2 linked regions of the Rhinolophus ferrumequinum genome follow. The protein of the gene in region 1 interacts with the protein of each later gene in a pairwise test. Links are inferred from orthologs where the notes say so. Each region holds a gene or a part of one and is shown on either strand. Other genes may lie near its edges.

Region 1 (11,293 bases):
ACTATGGACAGATAGTGGGTTGTTTCCACTTTGAGACTCTTACAAATAGTGGTGCTATGGATGACCATAATGTTTTAAAAGTGAATTTTATATAATAAAATAGTTTTTTCTGAAAAATGGTGTCATTAAAAATGTGATACACAGAATAAGTAAAGGGGTTACCTGAGCGGTTTTGGTGGCCTCTTGTAACTCAACTTCAAGCTTTTGGATCTCCTCCTTTAACTGAACATTTTCCTTCACCATTTCATCAATTAATTTCTAAAAAAAAAAAAAAAAAAAAACTCAAATAGCACCAAAAATTTAAACAGCGCATGACCTCATTTTTCTACATGAATCAAAGAAGCTAAATGTCTTTCACCCTGAACAAGGCCAAGAAAGACATGAGACAGCCTCAAAATAAGTATGATCACATGAATAATAAATTTGTTGGATGTTTTATATCATTTCCTACCATTTCCAAATATTGTTATCTCCATTATACAAACAAGGAAACCACCTTTCACATTGATCAAATCACAGAAATTTCTACAGTAAAGCAAGGATTGACACCCTGATCTGAACCTAAGTTCAGTGTTCTGTCAACTCCCTTCCTGGTTATTTGTGACTACAATATGACTTTTAAATTGCACGTATATTACTCTGGGGCAATTTTAAAAATTTGCTTTGATTCGCATAGTACAGCTGCTTTGACAGTCCAGACATGGCCTTGGGTAAATGGTTTAACCTACCTGAGCCTCCCTTCCCTCTTTGGTCTGATCAGATAATTGTTAACTACTGTGTTTCCGAAAATAAGACCTAGCCGGACAATCAGCTCTAATGCGTCTTTTGGAGCAAACATTAATATAAGACCAGGTCTTATATAATAATATAATGTGATGTAATATAATATAATATAATACCAGCAATTATATTAATTTTTGCTCCAAAAGACGCATTAGAGCTGATTATCTGGCTAGGTCTTATTTTCAGGGAAACACAGTAAGCTCTTAACTTCTAGGTACAAATCAAATAAATGAGGGAGTGAAAAAGTAGCTAATGTTGTAAGCCTTGTAAGACAAAGTAGTAATATGATTCTTCTTGTAAGGCTTGAATGATGGAAGTAAAAATAAAATTTGGAAACCCTAATATCCTCCCAAATTCAAGGCAATGTTGGGCAAAGACATAAAAAACATGCTTCACTGTAAAACTAATAGATATAAATTAATTTTAATTTTTCCTTTTTACCTGGTATTGTTCATCTTTCTTAGGTTTGTCATCATGCCAATCCGCCTTAAGAGCTTGTTTTTCCTTGTCTTCACCAGTTGCCATGATTCCCTAATTATCATAACATGTTTAATATTTTAAAAATAGCATATACACATAAACTCAATAAGCAAAAATGACAACCTTTAAAACCCTTTCAGCAAAACATCTCTTCTTTGCTACATCTTTTTTCCTGTCAGCAAAGTCTTTATTATCATGTGGCTTATATGCAAACAAAGTCTATAATTCAATAATTTCACACCTACAAATATATAAAAGGGTTATAAAAAATCCTTTGCTTTTCAACACACCAATAGAATACAATGGGCATTAACATCCCATTGTAGTTAACATCTCAATCGTATTATGATGTTCCCTTTTAAAAGACTATTACTTTAGTCTTCTAGCTTTTTCTAGGACTGAGACAGGAAAAGTACAAGACAAGCATCTTTTGGTGCCAGAAAGCAAGGAAGTGCTCAAAGAATAATGAGGCCATGTCAAAAGGACAAAAGATCCAGCTTGAGGAGGTTGTCACTGGCCAAAATATGGGAATAAATTAATTGTAAGAGTAAATAATGACAGCAATGATTAAATCCACTGAGTGAAATAACTGATGTAAATAAATAAATTGAAATGTTGGTGAGGAAAGGACCATTTAGTTTCAAAATACAAAAAAACTGATTAATTTCAAAGGGGAAAAAAGTAACTTTAAAGTGGAGAAGCCAAGCAGACGCCACTATCATGAAATAATCAAAGTAAATAAGGAGATAAATCATGTGCCATCTGATAGGCTGCACTAAGAACACAGCATGACTTCTATGATATTCCTGCCAAAGATGCATAATCTGAATCTAAACATGAAGAAACATTACACAGACTGGCCTATTCTCTTCAAAAGTGTCAACTTCATAAAAGCCAAGAAAAGACTGAGAAACTGTTCTACACAGAAGGAGACTAAAGAGATCACAACTAAATGCAAGGCATGATTCTGAACTGGGTCCTTTGTTATACAGGATATGATTGGGACAACTGGCAAAATTTGAATTGAATCCAAGAATTAGATGGCAGTAATGTACCAATATTAAATCCCTGATTTTGAACACCTTTCTTGTAGGAAATATATGCTCAAGAATTCTAGGGCAATGGGTCATGAAGTTGGAAATGTATTTTCAAATAATTCACTGGGAAAAAAAGTTGCTTGTATTGTACTTGCAACTTTTCTGTAAGTTTTAGATGGTTTCAAAATAAAAAGATATATGCCTTACACATAGCTCTCTATTCTACCAACAACTGCAGAATCCTTATGATGCCATTCAGCATTCATCCAAGGTTTTACCCGGTCTAACCCAATTTAGTTTCCAGTCTTATTTAGACGATTCCTGGATTAAGTCCCTTAATCACACCGAGCCCTCAAAGGGTGGCTCTTTTCCCTCTGCCTCTCAAAATGTCACATCCTTCTTCTCCTCTTTCCTTAATTTCCATCGAATGAAATCCTAGAGTTCTTCAAGATCCATCCCAAACTTCCCCCCCAAGTTCTTGAAGCCTTTTCTGATTCCCCCAAAGGACGTTACTTCTCCTTCTTTTATCTCCCCAAAAGGAGCTTTAGTTATTTATGTACCTGTGTTATTTTCCAAGGTCACAACCTTGAGGCCAGAGACCAAGTCCACTCCTCCTTATACCCACTCAGAGCACAATACAAGTTTACACACTGAAAACACCCAAAATTTATAAAATTGTGCAGTATCTTGACTCAGGTATTCTGCTCAGGACATCCCAGGCACATGAAGTTCTCTTATTACATTTCCAGAAAGCAGAAACTGCAACATTATTTGTTTTATAAGTCAATATTCGTAAAAGCTTATAATAAAGACTCTCAATATATTTAACTCTATAAATATCCCCCAAACTTCTTATGGCATGTTTAGTATCTGGATACTTTCCCTATTTGCATGAGTGGGATGTACAGTAATAGCCTTCCTTTGATGCTGTCAGATGGGTGGCCCCTTTAAAGATGTCCACATCCTAATCCCCAGAATCTGTGAATATGTTAGGTTACACTATAAAGGAGAATTAAGGTTGTAGATTGAATTGAGGTTGCCAATCACCTGACTTTAAAATACCGAGATCATCTTGGATTATCAGTGTGGCCCAAGGAATCACTAAGGTCCTTTAAAGTGAAAGAGGAAGGCAAGAGACCCCAGTCAGAGTGAGATGTGCTAACAAAAGAATGGTCAGGGAGATGTAATCTTTAATGGCTTTGAAGATGGAGAAAGCACACCACTGAGCCAAGGAAGGTGGACAGCCTAAAGAAGCGGGGAGGGGAGAGGACCGGGAGGCAAGAAAACAGATTTCACCCCAGTCGCCTCCCAGAGGGAAAGCAGCCCTGTAGACAAGTTGATTTTAGCCGAGACTCAGGTAGGTCTTCCAACCTACAGAATTTTAAGATAATAAATGTGGTTTTTAAGCCACTAAATCCTTGGCAATTTGTTATGCCAGCGAATGAAACAAACAAAACAAAAAACAATACAAATCACCTCCACCCATCTACTACCTATTTTTCTGATATACTCATATTATTGTGGTGTCAGCATGATAGAAACGAATTTTCCCATATGCATGCCTGGCAGCAAAAAGAAGGAAACGAGGGAAAGGAAGAAGGTGGTGATTAGTAAAATGGTGATACACATTTATAGTTTTTTAAAACCTTCTGTGCGTCGTACAGACAGGGAAACACCGTCTTCTCCTTTGGATATCTCTTTCAAGACTTTCCCTGCATATTCTTCAAAGTAAGGCACGACTGCCAAACACTGCACCTGCCAAGGAGAGTAAAAATCCCTTAAGGAATCGGTTTTTCTAAGAACTATCTCTAGAGACGCTGCATGAGCAGAGGGGAAACGCAAACCATTTTAAGTTTCCGTTTCCGCAAAGAAGCAAAGCAAACTAAGAAGACTGGGGCAGAGGCCGGCCCGGCCTCGAGAAGGCACAGTGGCCGGGGGGCAGGCGCGCCCCCGCGCCGGCAGTGTCGCCGCAGCGACCCGGGCAGCGGGCAGTGCAGGGGCGCGGGGGGCGCAGAGCCCGTCCTTCCGCGCGCCATTTCCGCCCCCGTGGAACCCAGCTCCCTGCGAACCCCCGGCCTCTAGCCCCGACAACTAGGGGCAGGGATGGCGACCGGGAAACGGGGCCCCACTCACCCGCCTCGGCCCGCCGAGCGCCGCGCCCCGGGGCCCAAAGTGCCCGATCTTCCCGGAAACTTGGTGCGGCCGCGCGCGGGAGGAGCGCCGCCGAGTCGCCCGGAGCCCGGGAGCGGGGCGGGAACGTGCGGGTCCCCGAGGCTGGCGCTGCCTTATCCGGAGTGGGTGTCGCTCAGATGAACAGTTGGGTCCTTAAAAAAGAAAGAGAAAACTCAGCTCAAATGGTGATTCTCTTTAAAACCAACCATTGCTCGGAATACCAGACCTGGTGTCTCCAATGATTAATCGCTAACAAGTTACAGTTTTCACTTTCGATTTTTAAAACGTCGTTGTTTCGTTTTTGTTTTGAGGGTATCTATCCCAAAAGTATTCCTGAAGTTTCCATTAACTCTAATTTTAGGACATGCATTCAAAACCAGTCTTGTGTGTGTGTATGTTACTGGACCTACTGTTGGAAAAGTGGATTGAAACCAAGTCAAAACGGGAGTCTATTCAGATTGTATAACTCTCATTGTAATGTCTTGGTCATTATAACCTTAATCTACAAATGTTTACAGCCAGCACAAGGTCAACTTTTCTGTGTCTTTTGCAATGTCCTCTGGGCCCAGGAGTTGGGAAGCTGTGGTGTTCAGTGGGTTTCTATGACCCATGTCCCTTGAAAGTTTCTTTTAATCTTTTATTTTGTTGTGAAGCTTGTAAATAAATTCTTCACTAGGTGTGATCCTTTCCTTTGAAAATAAAACCATCTGGCTTATTTCAAGAACTGCAGTGTTTCTTAATCCTACACAAAGAACCACCCCACAGCTGCACTTGCTTATACAGGACAGGAAGTAAATGTACCAAATTAATTTCCAGGCATAAATTCTAATTTGTAGAGCTATGTAGTAACCGATATATAGTCATATATAGTAACCGATACAGTGGTCTAAAATAACTGATAAAAGTCAAATTCCTTCATATCAGTAATATTGATGGGAATCTAAAGTGGCTCTTCTAACAAAAAAATCAAGTGGTGTATGATGACTGTTGTGCTCATTAGTCCAGTTAAGTACAAAAACTCCATCTGTTGCAACTTGAGAATTACTTCTCTTCTACCTTAGAATTTCAAAGAGCATGAACTCTAGAAGTTACCTAGTTCAACCTCGTTTCTTCTTTTGTCTTATTTTTGTTTTTTATAAGAAGGATATAAGCAGCAGGACCATGACCAGAACAGGACATATCTAATATTGACTCAGATCCTGTTAAAGGGCGAAGGATGCTGGTAGTAGAGAAAGAAGCCCTTTGGGCCACCTTCATGCTAAAACCAGGCCAGGTGTAACAACAGCCTGAGTTCATCTCACCTTGAGATCCAGTACTCTGCAAAGCGCTGGGATTCTAAAGATGAGTAATAGTCAGCTCCTGGACATTAACAATTATAATCGCTAGCACCTACTGAGAGCTCCTGGGCATCTTGTAAACCTTTTTATTTTGCCAACAACAATATGAGACACAGGTATTACCATACTTTGCAGATAGGGACACTAAGGCTTGAAGAGATGATCCAAAATCAAGCAATTAACATATGATGACATTGGTATCATACTTTACTCTTGACCATGAAATCTGTCTCCACACTGTGTTCTGTGGTGAATAGAGAAGGACATCTATCGCCAGATAGGATTGGGAAACGGTGCATACTGGATTCACTTCTGGGGATTCACAAATGCACATCCGCACATTAAGAGTTTTGAGAAGTATTGTAGGAAAAATCAAGACACATTAAAAAGTTTAACTTTATTCCAACTACTTTGACCGTTAAATCCATTTTTTTTCATGGAGCAGCTATTAAAATCTTGAAGAGTTTCTAATGGGGCAATTTGAGGAACGCTTTATGAATGATGGAGCTCTGGACATGCCACCCCAAAATGTGCCTCTTAGCACATTGAATAATTTAAGCTGAAGGAGTTTGAGAAAACAGGAGAAGAATGTCATTCTGGCCTTTGCCCTACCACTCCCACTCTCCTCTGAAACAGGTCATAAAACCCTCCTGTGAGAGGTACATTCTTACCTCCAAAGACAAATGGACGCTGAGAAGAATTCAAACAAACAAGTCTTGCTGTTTCCCCAGTTTCTACACTCACCTCATACACCTGCACCCATCATGTTTCTCCACGACTGTACACTCTCATCAAACCCAGCATAAAATACTCAGATCTAACTGTTCCTTTGGGTCTTCATTTCCTTATGGAGGCTCCAATATCATGTAAAGCTTACATTAAACATATTTGTATGCTTTTCTCCTATTATCTGTTTTTGTCAGTTTTATTTTCAGACCCAGCCAAGACCCTAAGAAGTTAGAGGGAAACCTTCTCCTACACTACACTATAATATATTATTTCCTAATATAAAAGTTATTATTTACGGAATGTCTGTAACACACTCAATAAATACTATGTTGCACATGAGATGCCTTGACATCTTATGTAAATCTACACTGCCATGACATGAGATATATACATATATGCTACACATTTATCTCCCCTACCCGAAAGCAACGAACTCTCCTCCCAGACTTCCCTATAATTTCACACACACACACACACACACACACACACACACACCAGTGTTTCATACAGTACAATGTATGCTATGAAGAGGTGGGATACCAGCAGTAGCAAAACACAAAGGAGAGAATAGTCCGCTCTCTCTCAGGGAAAGATTCCTCCACAAAAGAGGTGAAGACTGCGTTGAGTCTTAAAGTTAGAGGAAGCAGACTGATGCAAAAGTTCAGGTGAAAAATTGCAAAGGCATGAAACAACTTGAGAGGAATTAAGAGTTTAGTCGGTGTGCAAACCATGAGAAAACGACCTGAAATCCATTGTATTATTGCTCTTTTTTTAAGAAAGTTCTTGGACACTAAGCTTACACTGCCGTTGCTAAGATTTTGGTGATTCCATTGCAGTTCCTCTTGGGGAAGTTGGAACACTTAAAATGTGCCCTGCATTGTAACATCATTCTAGTTTTCAAGACGTTTGCAATGGGAATATATAAAAGTAAAGGAATCTTGCTAATGTTGTAGATCTTAAATGTTCTCACCCCAAAAAAAGAAATGGTAAGTATGTGATGTGATAAAGTTGTTAGCTAACACTGTAGTGGTAATCATTTTGTAATATATAAGTGTATCAAATCAACAAGTTGTACACCTTAAACTTACACAATGTTAAATGCTAATTATATCTCAATAAAACTGGAAAAAATACATAATATAGTAGACAACAGACTTTTTAAAAAGTAAAGGAAAATAGTACTCCATCTCATACTCTGTACCACTCAGTACTACATAGTTAAGAGCATGGTTTTGATATCAGATGGTTTGAATGCCAATTTCAAGTTACCAAAGTTTCCCACCCTCGGCATTCTCATCTGTAAAATGGAGCTGTTGTGACTGAGATCGTGTTATATGTCAAGGGCTAAGCACAGTGCTTTACCCATGGCAAGTGCTCAACAAATGGTAGCTGTTACCATCTTTACATTAGTGAGACACTTTTTCCATTTTTCTCTCTCACACTTCTTCTGCTTTGTCTTCCTACCTAGAGAAGTACTTTGATGACAAAGACAATTTTTTATTTCTTTTGTTTCACCTACAGTTGCAAGTACAGTGACTATACATAGTGGTTAGATACAAGAGTAGGCATCTAATGTGCTGGTCCCAATGGACAGGTTTTGGGGTTTTTAAAAAATGTTGACTTCTTTTTATTATTATTATTAGTTTCAGGTGTACAAAACAATGTAATAGTTAGATAGTTACACCCCTCACAAAGTGATAACCTCCCTCCCCCAATCTATTACCCCTCTGACATTGTATATAGCTGTTACAATTCCACTGACTCCATTCCCTATGCTATACTCCACATCCTGTGACTAGATAGATAGATAGATAGATAGATAGATTTATATATATTAAATTATAGTTCCAATGGACAGGTTTTTACATTAGTGTATACGAATAACTTTGTATAAGTGAATAAAATATGATAGATCAAATATTTAGAAATAGTTCGACCAAATAATAAAAATAAAATGAAAGAATAAAGGATGTTATCTTCTTGAATCTTCTTGAATCTTGAGCCACCGATTTATCATGTAAACATAATTGATCAGTCAGAAAATTCTGTTTTGTTAAAGTGTTTAGAGAACGATGCCACTGCCTTTGACAATGCTAGAAAAGGGACAATTGAGTGTTTTGTTCATGAACAAGAGGTTCAAAAATAAAGATTGATCCTTAATATTCAAGCCTGTAAGATATGAAGCAGTAAACCTCGATATTATATTAAGGAAATTATTTTAAGGAAATCTGAGAATATTGCTGATTTTTTCCTGCTTTCCTTGTCTGATTGCAAACTGAATGCTGTTCCTGACAGAGCTTTTTTTGGATGAAGTGATGATAGGATAAACCTAATTGTTTGGCTTGAACTTTAAAACAATCACAGGAGAGAAAAAGCTCAAAGAGCCTTGAGATTCTCAGAATGCTTAAAGAGAGTGTAGACTTGTAATGTTGGAAAATATTTAATAAAAATATTAAATTCTGGTTCTGTTATCATCAAAAATCCCAAAGGACAAATAATCGGGCAAAGCATCTAACGCACAGTCCTGGCGAATGACTGTGGACTATGGGGAATGGCCTTCTATCCCTAATTTAATGGACCGCTTGACTGTTTGCTTGGGAACACACCACCATGTAGTGGAACTGGCGGATGTTTGCTTTCATGTCTCCACCAGCCGCCATGGAGAATATGTGAGAAAGACTGGCTATGCCCAGAAAGACTGGTGGTACCCTGAGAGGCCCTGGCTGTGCCCAGGAAGTCAGGCTGTGCCCAGAGAGAGTGGCGGTGCCCTGAGTGGCCTTGGCTGAGCCCAGGAAGTCTGGCTGTGCCCAGAGAGAGTGGCAGTGCCCTAAGAGCCCTGTGTCGTACGGGAGACCCTGCTCGCTGCGCCATGTGTCATGCAGGACGGCCTGCGGGGTCTCAGCTCCCGCTCCCCACATAAGAACGCAGGACATGGTGAGGCCAAAAAGGAACACCCACGGAGCCATAGGTAGGGCAGTCACACCACTATATTCTCGCTGGCGGCTGGGTTGGAGACACAGGAACCAGGAGCAACACAATTCTCAACCCTCACTGCGCCGCTTGCAGGCTCAGCCACCATCTCCTTGCTAGCCCCCATTTTCTGCTAGCCTAGCCACGGCAGTTATATTCATGGCTAATGGCTCACTGGTTACAGCTGATGGCCAACTAGCCACAGCTGATGGCCATTTGATCACAGTCGATGGCCATTTACTACCTGAGCCAGCACCTTTCTATGTGAGGCCGAGAGCCTGGAAACTGCTTTTTGGGGCTCCGTCCCCACACCCTGGCTGAGTCCAGGAAGTCTGGCTGTGCCCAGAGAGAGTGGCAGTGCCCTGAGAACACCGGCTGAGCCCAGTAAGTCTGGCTGTGCCCAGAAGCACTGGTGGTGCCCTGAGAAACCCTGGCTGTATCCAGAGAGCCTGGCTGTGTCTAGGATATTGCATTCACCACCAGGCTCCTCGCACAGGTCCCCTCTTGGAAGATGCTAGTCGTGTAGATTGTGAGGCGAGACCCTGTAGGGGTGGAGTGTGGGGACAGAGCCAGGAGTGCAGTTTCCAGGCTCTCGGCCTCACGTGGAAAGGTGCTCACTCAGGTAGTAAATAGCCATCAACTGTGATTGGATGGCCATCAGCTGTGGCTAGTTGGCCGTCAGCTGTAACCAGTGAGCCATTGGCCACTAATATAACTGCTGTGGCTACGCTAGCAGAAAATGGGGGCTAGCAAGCAGATGGTGGCTGAGCTGGCAAGAGCGGATTGCAGAGAGGCGGATGCCGCCAGTGAGAATATAGTGGTAATGACTCCCCCATCTATGGCTCCCTGGGTGTTCCTTTTTGGCCTCACCATATTCTGAGTTCTTATGTGGGGAGCGGGACCAGAGACCCCGCAGGCCGCCCCGCATGACAATAAATCAATGTAACTTCTAGGGAGCTCAGCTGTTAAGAGAACATGCATAAGCCTACTGAACACAGCTAGAGAAATATTAAAAGAAATTTATTTTGCTTGACTATCTTTGTTTTTTGAGTTGCGATTTTGTAGTTTGTTTTTACCTGAAGGACTGTATGAGAAAGAAATGATAGAAATTGCCAAGAAGCAAGATTTGGGTTGGTGCTTGAATAAGTTGTTTCTGATTATTTCTCTGGTTTGAATAGTACTCTACAAGAGGTGTCAAATTGTTGCAGTAAGGAAGTTCACTGATCTACTCAGAGTATTAAAAACATATCAGGCAAAAGAGCTCACCTTTTTGTTCTTAGTTAAGTTTGTTTTCTAGTTGGTCTTAGCCTAGTTGTATGTAGGGACATAATTTCTACTAAGCTATATCTCAGCATAGTATATGATTGCTCTTGATTTCCCTTGCAACGTGTGCCACAGTTACTAGAAAGGGAAAATGTGTTTGTGGACCAAAGGGTGTCTTGTAGGCCAGTGTTTCTCAAACTTTAATGTCCATATGCATCAGCTAGGGCTCTTGTTAACATGGAGATCCTGACTCCACAGGTGTAGGGCAGAGTTTCTGCATTTCAAATATGGTTAGGGGATCCTGATGGTGGTGCTGCTCCTTGGACTGCACTTTCAGTAGAAAGGCTACAGATTAACCAGTTCACTAAAAAAGAGCAAACAGTGACCAGAAATAGTCATCCCAGTGGAAAGGTACTTGTACTGTCCTGGCTCAGTCAGGGAGCACGGGGACTTCCACCCGTGTATGAGCCTGGTGGGTGGGTCCACGGATGTCAAACAAGGCATTTCTAGGTGTCCGGGGTA
Region 2 (10,756 bases), on another chromosome or scaffold:
AATACCAAAAAACACAAACCTCTAAGAAATCAAATTAAACCTCCTAAAAAATAGGAATAAGCCAAACACCAAACCCCCTATAATTCAGATAGTAGCACACATTTTACACTTAATGGGCCACATATATATTTTTTTTTTTTACCCTTTAAAACACAAAACTATTCTTAGATTAAGACCTGCGAAAAAACTGGCCACCAACTGGATTTCCCACAAGCAGTAGTGACCCCCGTTACAAACCATATATCCCCCAAAAGATTACTGTCTCCTTTGAGATCAAACACACTGTTTTTCCACCTCTGCAGTTTTACTTAGTCCATTTCTCCTCATGCATTTGCTGAAATCCATTGATTCTGTAAATCATAGTCCTCATGCCTTGTACTCCCTGAAGGCCTTGACTCCAATACGAAGTGATCTCTCCATCAGGTGAGTGGGTTAACACCCCTTCTACCACTCCGGTTACCCATCATGTAATGTTTTCGTATGTCATTTTCCATGTAGGTAATTACCCTCATAGATAAACTCTAGGAGGTGAGGACAACACTTAAACAGTATTTCACAAAGCACCCTCTACTGGGCTTCAGTAGGTACACAGATCTGTCAATGAAGATACAGTTGTGATTGACTCTCAATACCTGATATTCCAACATTTCTCAGGAATTCTATATACTTCCATCAGTTACATCCCCTTTCCCCCTCCTGCCTCACCCTCCACACAGATCAAGTTGAAAATCACTGACCTGTGCTATTTGGCTTCTTGTTTTCTTTTACACAATATCTCAAATATGGGATGAGTGGGCACGGGAATTAAGAGAGAAAAAGATAGGCTAAATAAAAGTTCTCCCTCTGTGTAATTTGTACCAATCTAGGTTTTCCCTCTTCTTCATGTCCCCCTAGTTATGTGTATATCTCTGTATCTACAAAACACCGTCAATACCTTTGCTTGCTCTTTTTCTGCTTAACTGCCCCAATACAAAACAAACATATTTCTTTCTTGAATAAGATTTTCCTACTTTTAGTTTTAAATGTTAACCTTTCAATGTCTCTTACAATACTGCCCTAACTAAATTATGTTTTACTTATTTAACTTATGATTGATATTTTTCTAAGGGCCATCAAAGGGCCCAAAATACTAAGGGCAGAATAAACAAATTTTAAAAGGTAGAGACAATCCAATTTAGGTGAGAGGAGACTCTTTTAACTATTTCGAGACAATCCAATACCTGTGCAAAATTGCTGATTCCCACTGTTCCAATACCATTTTCTGTTGTTATCCATTCATGTTTCTCTGTGAATTTACGCACTAAAATAGAAGACCAATATTTCAGAAAAGCAGTATCATCATTTCTTAAAAAGCATTTTTCGTATCAATGCTGTCAAAAGGCAAAACTTTCCCAGTATTTGTGTTTGACTTAGTGACATTGCTTTTCAGTCGTACACTGCCCAGGAAAAAAAACAGATCATGTGAAAAGATGGCACATCTTCTCAACAGTGGTATGTATCACTTCGACAAATATGGATTGATGTGAATACCCTGTGCATCTTCTGGAGATTTGATTATTTGCTCTAACATTACTTAGTCTGGATCATACACACAAAATTTTGGAGGACATTTCAAATATGTATACTTATCTACTACTAGTCTGTCTTGCAAAAAAGTCTGTCCCTCTGAAGACAGACTTGGAGTGATCAGTCTGGGGAGGAGCCCAGAGACTGCTGCTCATAAATTATTTAACCTAAAAAATAATAATGGGCCTCTTTAGTAGAGTTGACCTAACAGAGCTTCATTGCAACTTGGTTATAAAGTGAAATCTTACATAAAATTGACCTGGAACAATTATAACTTCAATGAAGTTCTTAAAATTCTCCTTTAATTGATTTCAAGCCTGCCCTGGAAGAAATATGCTACCATCATTTAAAGAAGCAAACTATAAGATCAGAACTAAACAGTCACCTCAGCTAAGGCATTAAAACTAGTGGAAAGTCAAGCTCTGCCGAACATTCATTGGACAGATTAGCCCTTGGCTTTATGAGCTTCTTCTCTTCAAAGACATGATCGAACTATTCAAGGATTCCTGGGAGAAAGACTGACCAAAGTTCAAGAGATGTGAAAAAAAAACTTATTTAAGATTTAATGTTAAAAATACTTGCTTTAAGGAATAAGTAAATTTTAAAAAAGCATATGCTATCTTCTTAAATAGATACTACATTCCAAAGTGAAGTATTTTTCTGAACATAATACATCAGAAATTAATAGGAAAATGGTTCAGTAATTCCAGTACTGCTTTAAAGTAAGCCTTGCTAGTTCACGCTTCCCCTTACCCAAAAGATAGTTGTACTTAAAACAGCACTAAACTACTTTGTTTCACAGATCTGATACCACCAGAACTAGAGTATAGCTTATTACTTTCTTTTCCCCAAATCAGTAAAAAACTTTAATTTCTTACTCTTCAGTGGAAGAAGTTGCAAAGTCTGACACAAAGGAAATTTGCTTTGCTTCATTCCACTTCAAATAACTGAATGCTTCAAGTCAATCTGATCTTTTCATAAAAAGGTTAAGGTTTGTACTTGGTGTTCTGACTGCAACACTCTAACTAACGCTGTTTGCCGTTTCTTAACTATTTCCTATCTCACCTAAGAAGCTCCTTCCTGACAGAAGACTGGTCCAGCCCTCCAACTCTGGGCTCCTGAGCCATTCAGCCTCCTCCCTCCCTGACCCCCAAACACACTCACAGTACTGAACATGCTACAGATAAAGCCTGTTTGTCAGTTTTCCCCAGGAAGTAGACCATAAGTACAAAGTAAGCAAAAGCAGAGCTTATCATATTTGTATTCCCAGTTCTAAACAATGCTTGGCATAGAGTAAGCACTTAAAAGTTGGAGTGAAGTAATTTTTTAAAATTTAAGGGGATTCTGAGAAAAATATCTAGTATACATAGTTATTTGTCTACGACACTCAATTCTCTCTATCATGCCCTTAAAACTCTAGAATTGGCAGTTTTAATCTAATATATCTTCTAAAGTAAGGGCTGGGGAACTATAAAATACGTGACTTCTTAGACTATTGTCCTGATTTTGGCCTTGCCATCTTCCTAATTGTAAAGATAATCTTAGGAGTTAAGATCACTCTCACATTCAATTTAGCAACTGAGCAAGTATAGAGGAAGCATTAGCAACGTTACTAAGCGAAATATACCGAGGGCCAGTTGACTTCAAAGTCCAGTAAGTCTTTTTACTAGGTCACGCTATTTAGGCTAAAGACAACAATTACTATAATTCTCCTGTAACCCTTGGCCCAGCAAGAAAAAAGTGGACAGGAGATTAGGTAAATAATTACTTTCTTACTGAGCCTTGAGGAACAGCTTTTGACCTCAGAAAATTAGGCATTTTGAGTAACTTGTGAAAAATTTGGAACTTCTTTCAAAATCATTAGTCAGATAAAATATATTAATATTGGTCAACCATTTGTTTATTTGATTCTATACACTAATATTTAATAACAAGTAACATTTGTCAATACTATGTGTCAGGATATATGTAACAGTTATTATACCATTTCATCCTCCCAACAACTGTGAGGTAGCATTACCATTTCCATTTTTCTGAGGAGGGAAACAGACTGAGAAGTTAAGTGACTCTACCAAGATCACATAGTTCATAAAAGGTGTAAGTAACCAAAATTGGAACTCGGGTTTCTGTTTTTAAAAACCTAGGTGTTTATCCAGATCTTGGGTATTGACATTTAGGGCAATATTTAACTAGATAACTGTTTGAAAATGCAAAAACGTAACAAACAGTCAAACACTGAATAATCAAAAAACAAAGATTTGAAATTCAGTCTCATCTGAGTAATGCTTTTCCTTTATATTCAAATTGGTAATGTACTGATATGTGGCATCAACAGAGCTGAGGGGTTATAATTACGAGGTGGGGGAATGAGCATCTTTGTATCAGACTTTGGAATAAATAAATTTACCAATTCTTCCAGGCCCAAACAGGTTTCTAAAACAATACACTTGATGAGACCACAGCCATCACAGACCTACTATGCTCCCTAAGAAGCCCGAGTTCTTAGTGGTGCAGTTGGTTAGTGTCTCAAGTATTTGCCCACGAGGTTAAGACAACGGTTTTTCCGCCGAGATAACTGCTGAAGGGCACAGACGGCCAAGACATTTACGGGCAGGTCCCCCGGTTACTTCAAGTCCATGTCAATTGGGCCTCATTGCGATCCTAACACACATCCATGACTCAACATACACTTGAGCAGAACGTCTTCTGTAAAAAGTCCAGAAGACTTTATCTTACTGTTTTTAGGAAATAACTGGGTCTTCAAAGTTTTGCTCGCTTTAGCTAGTAAAAATCTAGACCCTGTGCTTTAATTTCAAAAACTGTGCTCTTGCCTTAATTTTACTTCAGAGTTATCAATGATGGTCCGTGGAGCAAACTGAAGCCTATTATTTGTCTCCACTCTTAGGGTCCACGATGCCCACACATGCGAGCTAACCTAAGGTCACGAAGGAGCTTGGCTACGCTTGCCGAGTTCTCCAGCAGCGAGCAGATGACGCTCCCGCCAGAACGAGCGGGGACTCGGCGACAGCGCGTGTGCTCCAGGCCTCCTCCCCCCCTCCTACTCCCTAACCCGCTGGACAAAGGCTGCGGTGTCGTCCACGCCACTTGGAGAGGGGAGCAGCAGCCAAGGAACTAGTGATCCCAGCAATAACAAGCGTGCGCAGGAGTCGCCTCGCTTGACCCGAGGCGAGAGGCAGCGAGGACTTGAGGTAAAGATCAAGGCCAGGAGGGAGGCGTCCCAGCTCCCCACGCCCCGAGGCCGTTCTGCTCGCCCCACGTGCCCGCCCGCGCTTACCCGAGAGCAAGTTGGGGCCGGTGCGCAGCGTCCGGACGGCGCCCACCCTCAGGCCCCAGGGCCGCGGCGCGCAGGGCGCGACGGGCGCCGAGGCGGCGCGCAGGCTGCAGGCCGCCGCCCGCACGCTCCGCGCCGATCGCAGCGCCATGTTCGCCGGAGTGCAGAGGGTCGTGGTGCACCTCCTCCGCCACAGCGCAGTCGGGGTCGAGGCGGAGCGGGGGCGGGGGCGGCCCTGGACTGGAGCGAGCCGGCTGCGCCGGGGCGCAGGGGCGGGCCCCGGGCGGGGCGGGGCCTGATACGGCAGCGTGCGAGGGGGCGCGACTCGGATTGGGCGACGCGCAGGAGGGGCGTGGGCAAGCGGAACGGCTTGAACCCGAAAAGGGACAGCGGTCGAGGGGCGGGGACTAGTGCGGAGGGAGTGACCGGGGCGGGCTGCGCAGCCGAAGGGATGGATGGGTGGTGCCTCCCGGGTAGGGGTGGGGCTACGTCTCCGGGCGTCGCTTTAGGTGAAGTGGAAGCGCTAGGTCATCAACTTCGCTCTACGTGACTGGCTCTAGGGGTGAGAAGTGCTGCAGGCTGGAATGGCTCTGCTGGGCCAGTACATTACGGTGCCTTTGTGCCAGGGTAATGCGGGCCTCTCCCAGTCTTGTTAAAGGATGCGTCCTACCCTCCTACTGAGGATCAAGGTCATCCAGAGTGGGGATTCATAGCCAGGTCCAAACAAAATCATTCCAGCCGAAGATGGTTGTTGGGCATTGGTCAAAGGCGCGCTGATACATGCAGTTTCTCTTTGACTTTTGGAAAACAATCCAAGAATCCACTTTATTACTTTACAGATCCCAAAAGGCTCAGAGTACCCAAACGGGACAGACGGAATCATAAAACATACAGGGGGCAAGTATTTGCCCAAGAATCCGGAGTGGCTCCTTGGTGTAGACTCTACTGGAGCCAGTCAGTTAATGCAGGAGCAATCAGAAAGCAGAGTCGAGATCTAGCAAGGCTCTTGCTTGTGCAACCAGCCCCGTGACCAAGGTCTTCTGGGAAAAGCAGAAGACATATATCCATCCAAGAAGACAAAAAATAATTAAGTTCTGGAAAAGACCTCACCTTCAACACAGATTTTATGGAGTGGGCGTGAATCAGCAAAGAAACACTGGCGTGAAAAGCACCTCAAGCCCCACACCTCAAATATTACAGAGTGGGTTCTTTGAAGTGTGTGTGTGTGCGTTTGTTTGGAAGGCTCATATGTTGCTGCACTGAGCTTCTGCCTCACATAAAATCGGGATTGCTGGCACATCTGTGCAGTGCCTTGCAAGAGCTGTCATGCTCCATTTTCATGGGAGTAAATAATAGCCATTTGATGAGCCCTTGCTATGGGTCTGGGAATGTGCAAACATTATCTGTTTAATCCTCTCCAAACCCCTTTCTAGTAGGTAAACTCATTTCGTACATGAGGAGCTGGAGGCACAGATAGTTTAACTTGTCCAGTAGTGGAATGGGGCATGGCCGGTGCTAAAGAATTACGTAGAACAGGGCAGGATAGATCAGGGTACTGGGTAGGACCTGCCCACAGAAGGGGAAATCGCCTTTCATGCTTGCTGGGACCAGGGGAATGGCCTGTTCCGGGAACCAACACGGGGGGTCGCTCAGATAGTTTCTTGAGGGAAGTACGGGAAGCAATCTCTTGTGGTCTGGATCTAGCTAGCTGGCCTTGGCAGGAGTCACATCATGGAACTGTCTCTCCTCCATACATAACATGATGGAAGGAGTTGCCAGTTTGATATTTACAGTCAATAGAGAAGTGGAGTTTAGGTGGGAAAGATGAGAAAAAGAAATGAATAATTTACAACCTCTCCAGATCTTAGAACTTTCCCTGTTTAAAACAGACTGTTTTGTATGCCTCTGGGTAGGTCTGTGTACCAGTCTATTCAGAGACATGTGTACACCTTGCTGTCGGTTAGTTTATGAGCATCTCTTCATGTATAGCTCATGTTCATACCTGATACAATAAGGAATGGTTATGGGTTTGGGGTGGATAGAAGATGATGAAATCCCCAAGGTTTTATGTACATTGCATGTTATATGCCTCTCTCTATAAAGGATCTTGGGTTTTGATTGTCAGGGTACTAGGGTGGGATACTGATTCAACTGTCATCAAAAGACATTTAAGCTCTCATCCAGATAAAGGGCTGGCAGTTGTTCAGCTTCAGGGTTGATTAAGTCAGCTGTTTAAAGACTTCATCAAGCATGCATGTTCCTCTCATCTTTCTGCTCTGCCATCTTCCTTGTTCCCTGTGGTCTCAAGGTAGCTGTCAAAGTTTCGGGACTCTTACTCGGACAATGTCCAGCAGCATAAGAGCCCATCTCTTTGGGTCTCTTTTTATTAGCAAGCAGAGCTTTCCTGGAAGTGTCCTGGAGACCTCTCCTCATTTTTCACTGGCCACACTGGGTAATGTGCACACTAAACTGCTCACTGTCAAGGGAAATAAATTCCCTTTCCTAAGGCAAATCAGGTTCACCTTGAGGTGGTTACAGGATCTTGTATGGGAGGGGTAGGTGGCTACCTAAAAAAGTTGGGATTCTGAAAGCGAGGCGGAAAGTCTGAAACGGGTTTGGAGCAGGCAACCTGGAGTGTCTGCTACAATGGGTGTGTGAGGAGGAGGAGAAGACAGGTGAGTTGGAGAGGATGTATGAGGTGCTTCCCCCGCGTGAGGAACAGGAAATTTGTACTCATCCACACAGACGCCTGGGAGCCTTTTATTATCTAGACCTGTGGTTCTAGAGCATGGTTACGGTGTCTAGTCCGACTGCACACTGGAGTCACCTGGGGGGCTTACAATATATTGACACCTCGATCCCAGCCCAGAGATTCTGCTCTATTGGAATGAAGTCTAGGGATTCTAGCTAGCATGCAGTCAAGGTTGAGAACCGCTGGTGTAGATCAGCAATTCCCAACGTATCATCTAAGGAAGACTAGCCCTGATCGAGGTGCTGCAGTACTGGACGCCTTGGTCAAGGAGGTTTGGAATCGTTACGCACTTTGTCGCTCGGGCTGTCTCATCCCAGGAGACGCACAGTGCACATGCAGCACATTAAAAGCTCTGACAATCCCCCGGCTAAAGAATTTACGTGACCTTTTATAACCCAGTGTTGCCCACATTTATTTGATGTAGAAACATTTGGGGGGTGACGACAGCTGTTATGGGTTGAATTGTGTCCCCTAAAAAGGATACCTTGACGTCCTAACCCCCAGTACCTCAGAATGTGAGCAAATTTGGAAACAGAAATTGTTGCAGATGTAATCAATTAAGATGAGTTAATAATGAATGAGGGTGGGTCCTTAATCCAATATGGCTAGTGTCCTTGTAAGAAGAGGAGAAGAGACACAAAGACATACTGGGGAGAAAGCCATCTGACAGAAAAGGCAGAGATTCGAGTGATGCATCTGCAAGCCAAGGAATGCCAAGGATTGCTGGCAGGTGCTAGAAGCTAGAAGAGAGGATTCCTCTATAGGGCTTTCCCAGGGAGCATAGCCCTGTCGACAGCTTGATTTTTGGGCGTCTATCCTCCAGAACCGTGAGACTATAAATTTCTGTTATTTTAAGCTACCCAGTTTGTGTCCTTTGTACCAGCTACCCTACCCTAGCAAACTAATATGACACCCATTAGCATTTCTCAGACCGTCTGAGAAACCCTGAATTAAAATCATTCAACGGCAACCCCCGACTAACCAGGAAGATGAAATAATTAGTCTGTAGAGAAGACTTTTTTTCTCGAACTCCAGACAATATTTGTTTAATTTCTAAGAGGAAATACATTTGAACAGTCTATCACAGTAGTGGCACTAGTACATATGTATATACATATTTTTGTTAGTTTTTTACTCACCAGGTTTGGTAACTCATGTATGGACACAGAAAAACTTTGACTGGAGAGATGACAGAATTCCTGGTTAAGTGTAGGCCCGAGGCTCTGGCCTCCCCTACTCTACAGATGACCCTGTGTGGACAAACAGCTTAAACCTGGGGCACAGCTAGGGCAGGTTGAGGGGGCCAGGCCTCTGACTCAGGCTGCTCCCCGCTGCTTCCAGGCCCCTGTCTTTTACAGTTAATGCCCAAGAAACTGAGTATTTTCATCAGCAGCAAATCGACGATCTCTCCTTCCTCTGACAGCTGCAGAGGGAGAAAGAACTACAAGATGCATATAGAAACATTCTCTTTGGGGGCTTCTCTTTCTAAGGGGAAATCACGGTTTTATTGTCCAACTGGTTCCCTGCCAAAGTCGCTTCACTGTTTAGAGTTGCTTTTGCATTGGGATTCACCTCCTTCAGGGAACCCCAAGGGTATGTGCTCACCTTTATCCCAAGGCGGTTCCTTCTTCCCTCTGATGGAAATGACAGAATGCCTCCACCACCCCCATCAGAGGTGGCTGGGGATTTATGTACTAAGCTCCTTATGCATTGCTGCTAGGATGTGAGATTATGCAGTTGCTTTGGAAAACAGTTTGGTGGTTTCTCAGAATTTAAACCAAAGCTGCCAGATGACTTCTTGAAATAAATTTCTAGGCCCAAGATGGAGCCACTTCTGCTTGGAATGCCATGTCAGCAAAACAAAACTTACATAACTTTTGTGTCCCTGTAAATGCTCCCCTTGACCAGAAATGCAGTCTATCCAGTCAGCCAATCGCCAAACACCAAGCCAACTCGGGGCTCTATTTGCACTTATTTCCTTTTCCTTCTCACTCCAAACAAGGCTGACTATGTGGCAACAGCCAATCCGATATTTTCTATTTTTCTCTTCCTTGTTTTATCATGGTGCCCATGGTAATGACGGTGATGGTAACAGTGAGGATGACGATGCTGCTGATGTAAATGGGTGATGCTATTGGTGAGGAGGAGGAGGAGGATATAATAGTGATGATGAGGTGATGCAGGTGACAGTGAGGACGATGGTGATGGTGACGTGAGGATGACAGTCAGGATAGGCTGGTGATGGAGATGACACTTCATGGGGCCGCTTACCTAGCAGTCTTGGCTAATGGCTGCAGAGCTCTGGAAGAATGCCAAGGGAGGAATCCTCCCAGGGTCAAGTGGACGGAGGTGAAGGAGTTCTGTGAGCCTCTCCTCCCAGTTTGGGGTCCCTCCCCCACGTCCTCCTGTTTGAGTGAATGTACCCATCACCCTTACATTTGAAGGAAGGACGGAAGCAACCATTCAGTTGCTGTGCTAAATGAGGGCCTAATGAACTTTAGTTGCATGGTGTCATTTGACTTTTAAGACCACTGGATGAGGAAATATGCTATCTCCGTTTCACAGATAAGGACAGAGGGGTGGCACGAGGTCAGAGCTAGTGGCATAACTAATGGGAGAAGAATGATAATTGCAATCCAGGTGTGTGATTCCAAACTCTAGATTGTTCCCCTTATCCCACCCCGTACCTCAATCCCCTCTCATGCCTTTGCATCAATTCCATCTTAATGGTGTCTCATTAAAAATGGCACAGATACATATCTATTGACATGAAGGGAAACAGGTTATAGAACAAAATTCTGTGATCTTAAGTTTGTAAAAGCGTTTCATATGCATATATAATGCCCTACTGAAAGCCATCCTTCTACCTAATGTCCTGCCCTCCAGAATCTTCCTCCCCTTCCTCCCTTTTGAGCTGCTGGTGTGGATGGTTGCTAAGTCCTTGGACTCTTGCAGCACCTTTTTCCTGCCTCTTTTAAAATACCTAACCTTCTCTCATGGCATTTGATTGTTCACATATGTGGAGATAACCAAGTAAGCCCTCCGTTATGGTGGCAATTAGCTCTAATTAGAGCACAGTTCTCAACCTCAGCTACATTTTAGAATAACCAGAGGACCGTGAAAAATACTGGTGCTGGGGCTGTGTT

What was found.
Region 2: the proteins of NMI (region 1) and GCSH interact in binary tests that used the Homo sapiens proteins (3 or more experiments, as listed by UniProt). The two-hybrid records come from large-scale screens. The link is inferred for Rhinolophus ferrumequinum from reciprocal best matches to the Homo sapiens genes NMI and GCSH.

What each region holds. Positions count from the first base shown.
Region 1 is NC_046291.1:69,053,143-69,064,435, reverse strand, and holds the start of NMI (N-myc-interactor), read right to left. Parts: upstream 4,742-11,293; 5' UTR 4,699-4,741; intron 4,625-4,698; 5' UTR 4,434-4,624; intron 4,056-4,433; 5' UTR 3,963-4,055; exon of another isoform or gene 3,947-3,962; intron 1,315-3,946; 5' UTR 1,309-1,314; coding exon 1,225-1,308; intron 259-1,224; coding exon 163-258; intron 1-162. UniProt on the Homo sapiens protein: Acts as a signaling pathway regulator involved in innate immune system response.
Region 2 is NC_046298.1:27,234,856-27,245,611, forward strand, and holds the start of GCSH (glycine cleavage system H protein, mitochondrial), read right to left. Parts: upstream 5,114-10,756; 5' UTR 5,010-5,113; coding exon 4,862-5,009; intron 2,529-4,861; exon of another isoform or gene 2,500-2,528; coding exon of another isoform or gene 2,445-2,499; intron 1,301-2,444; coding exon 1,221-1,300; intron 1-1,220. UniProt on the Homo sapiens protein: The glycine cleavage system catalyzes the degradation of glycine. The H protein (GCSH) shuttles the methylamine group of glycine from the P protein (GLDC) to the T protein (GCST).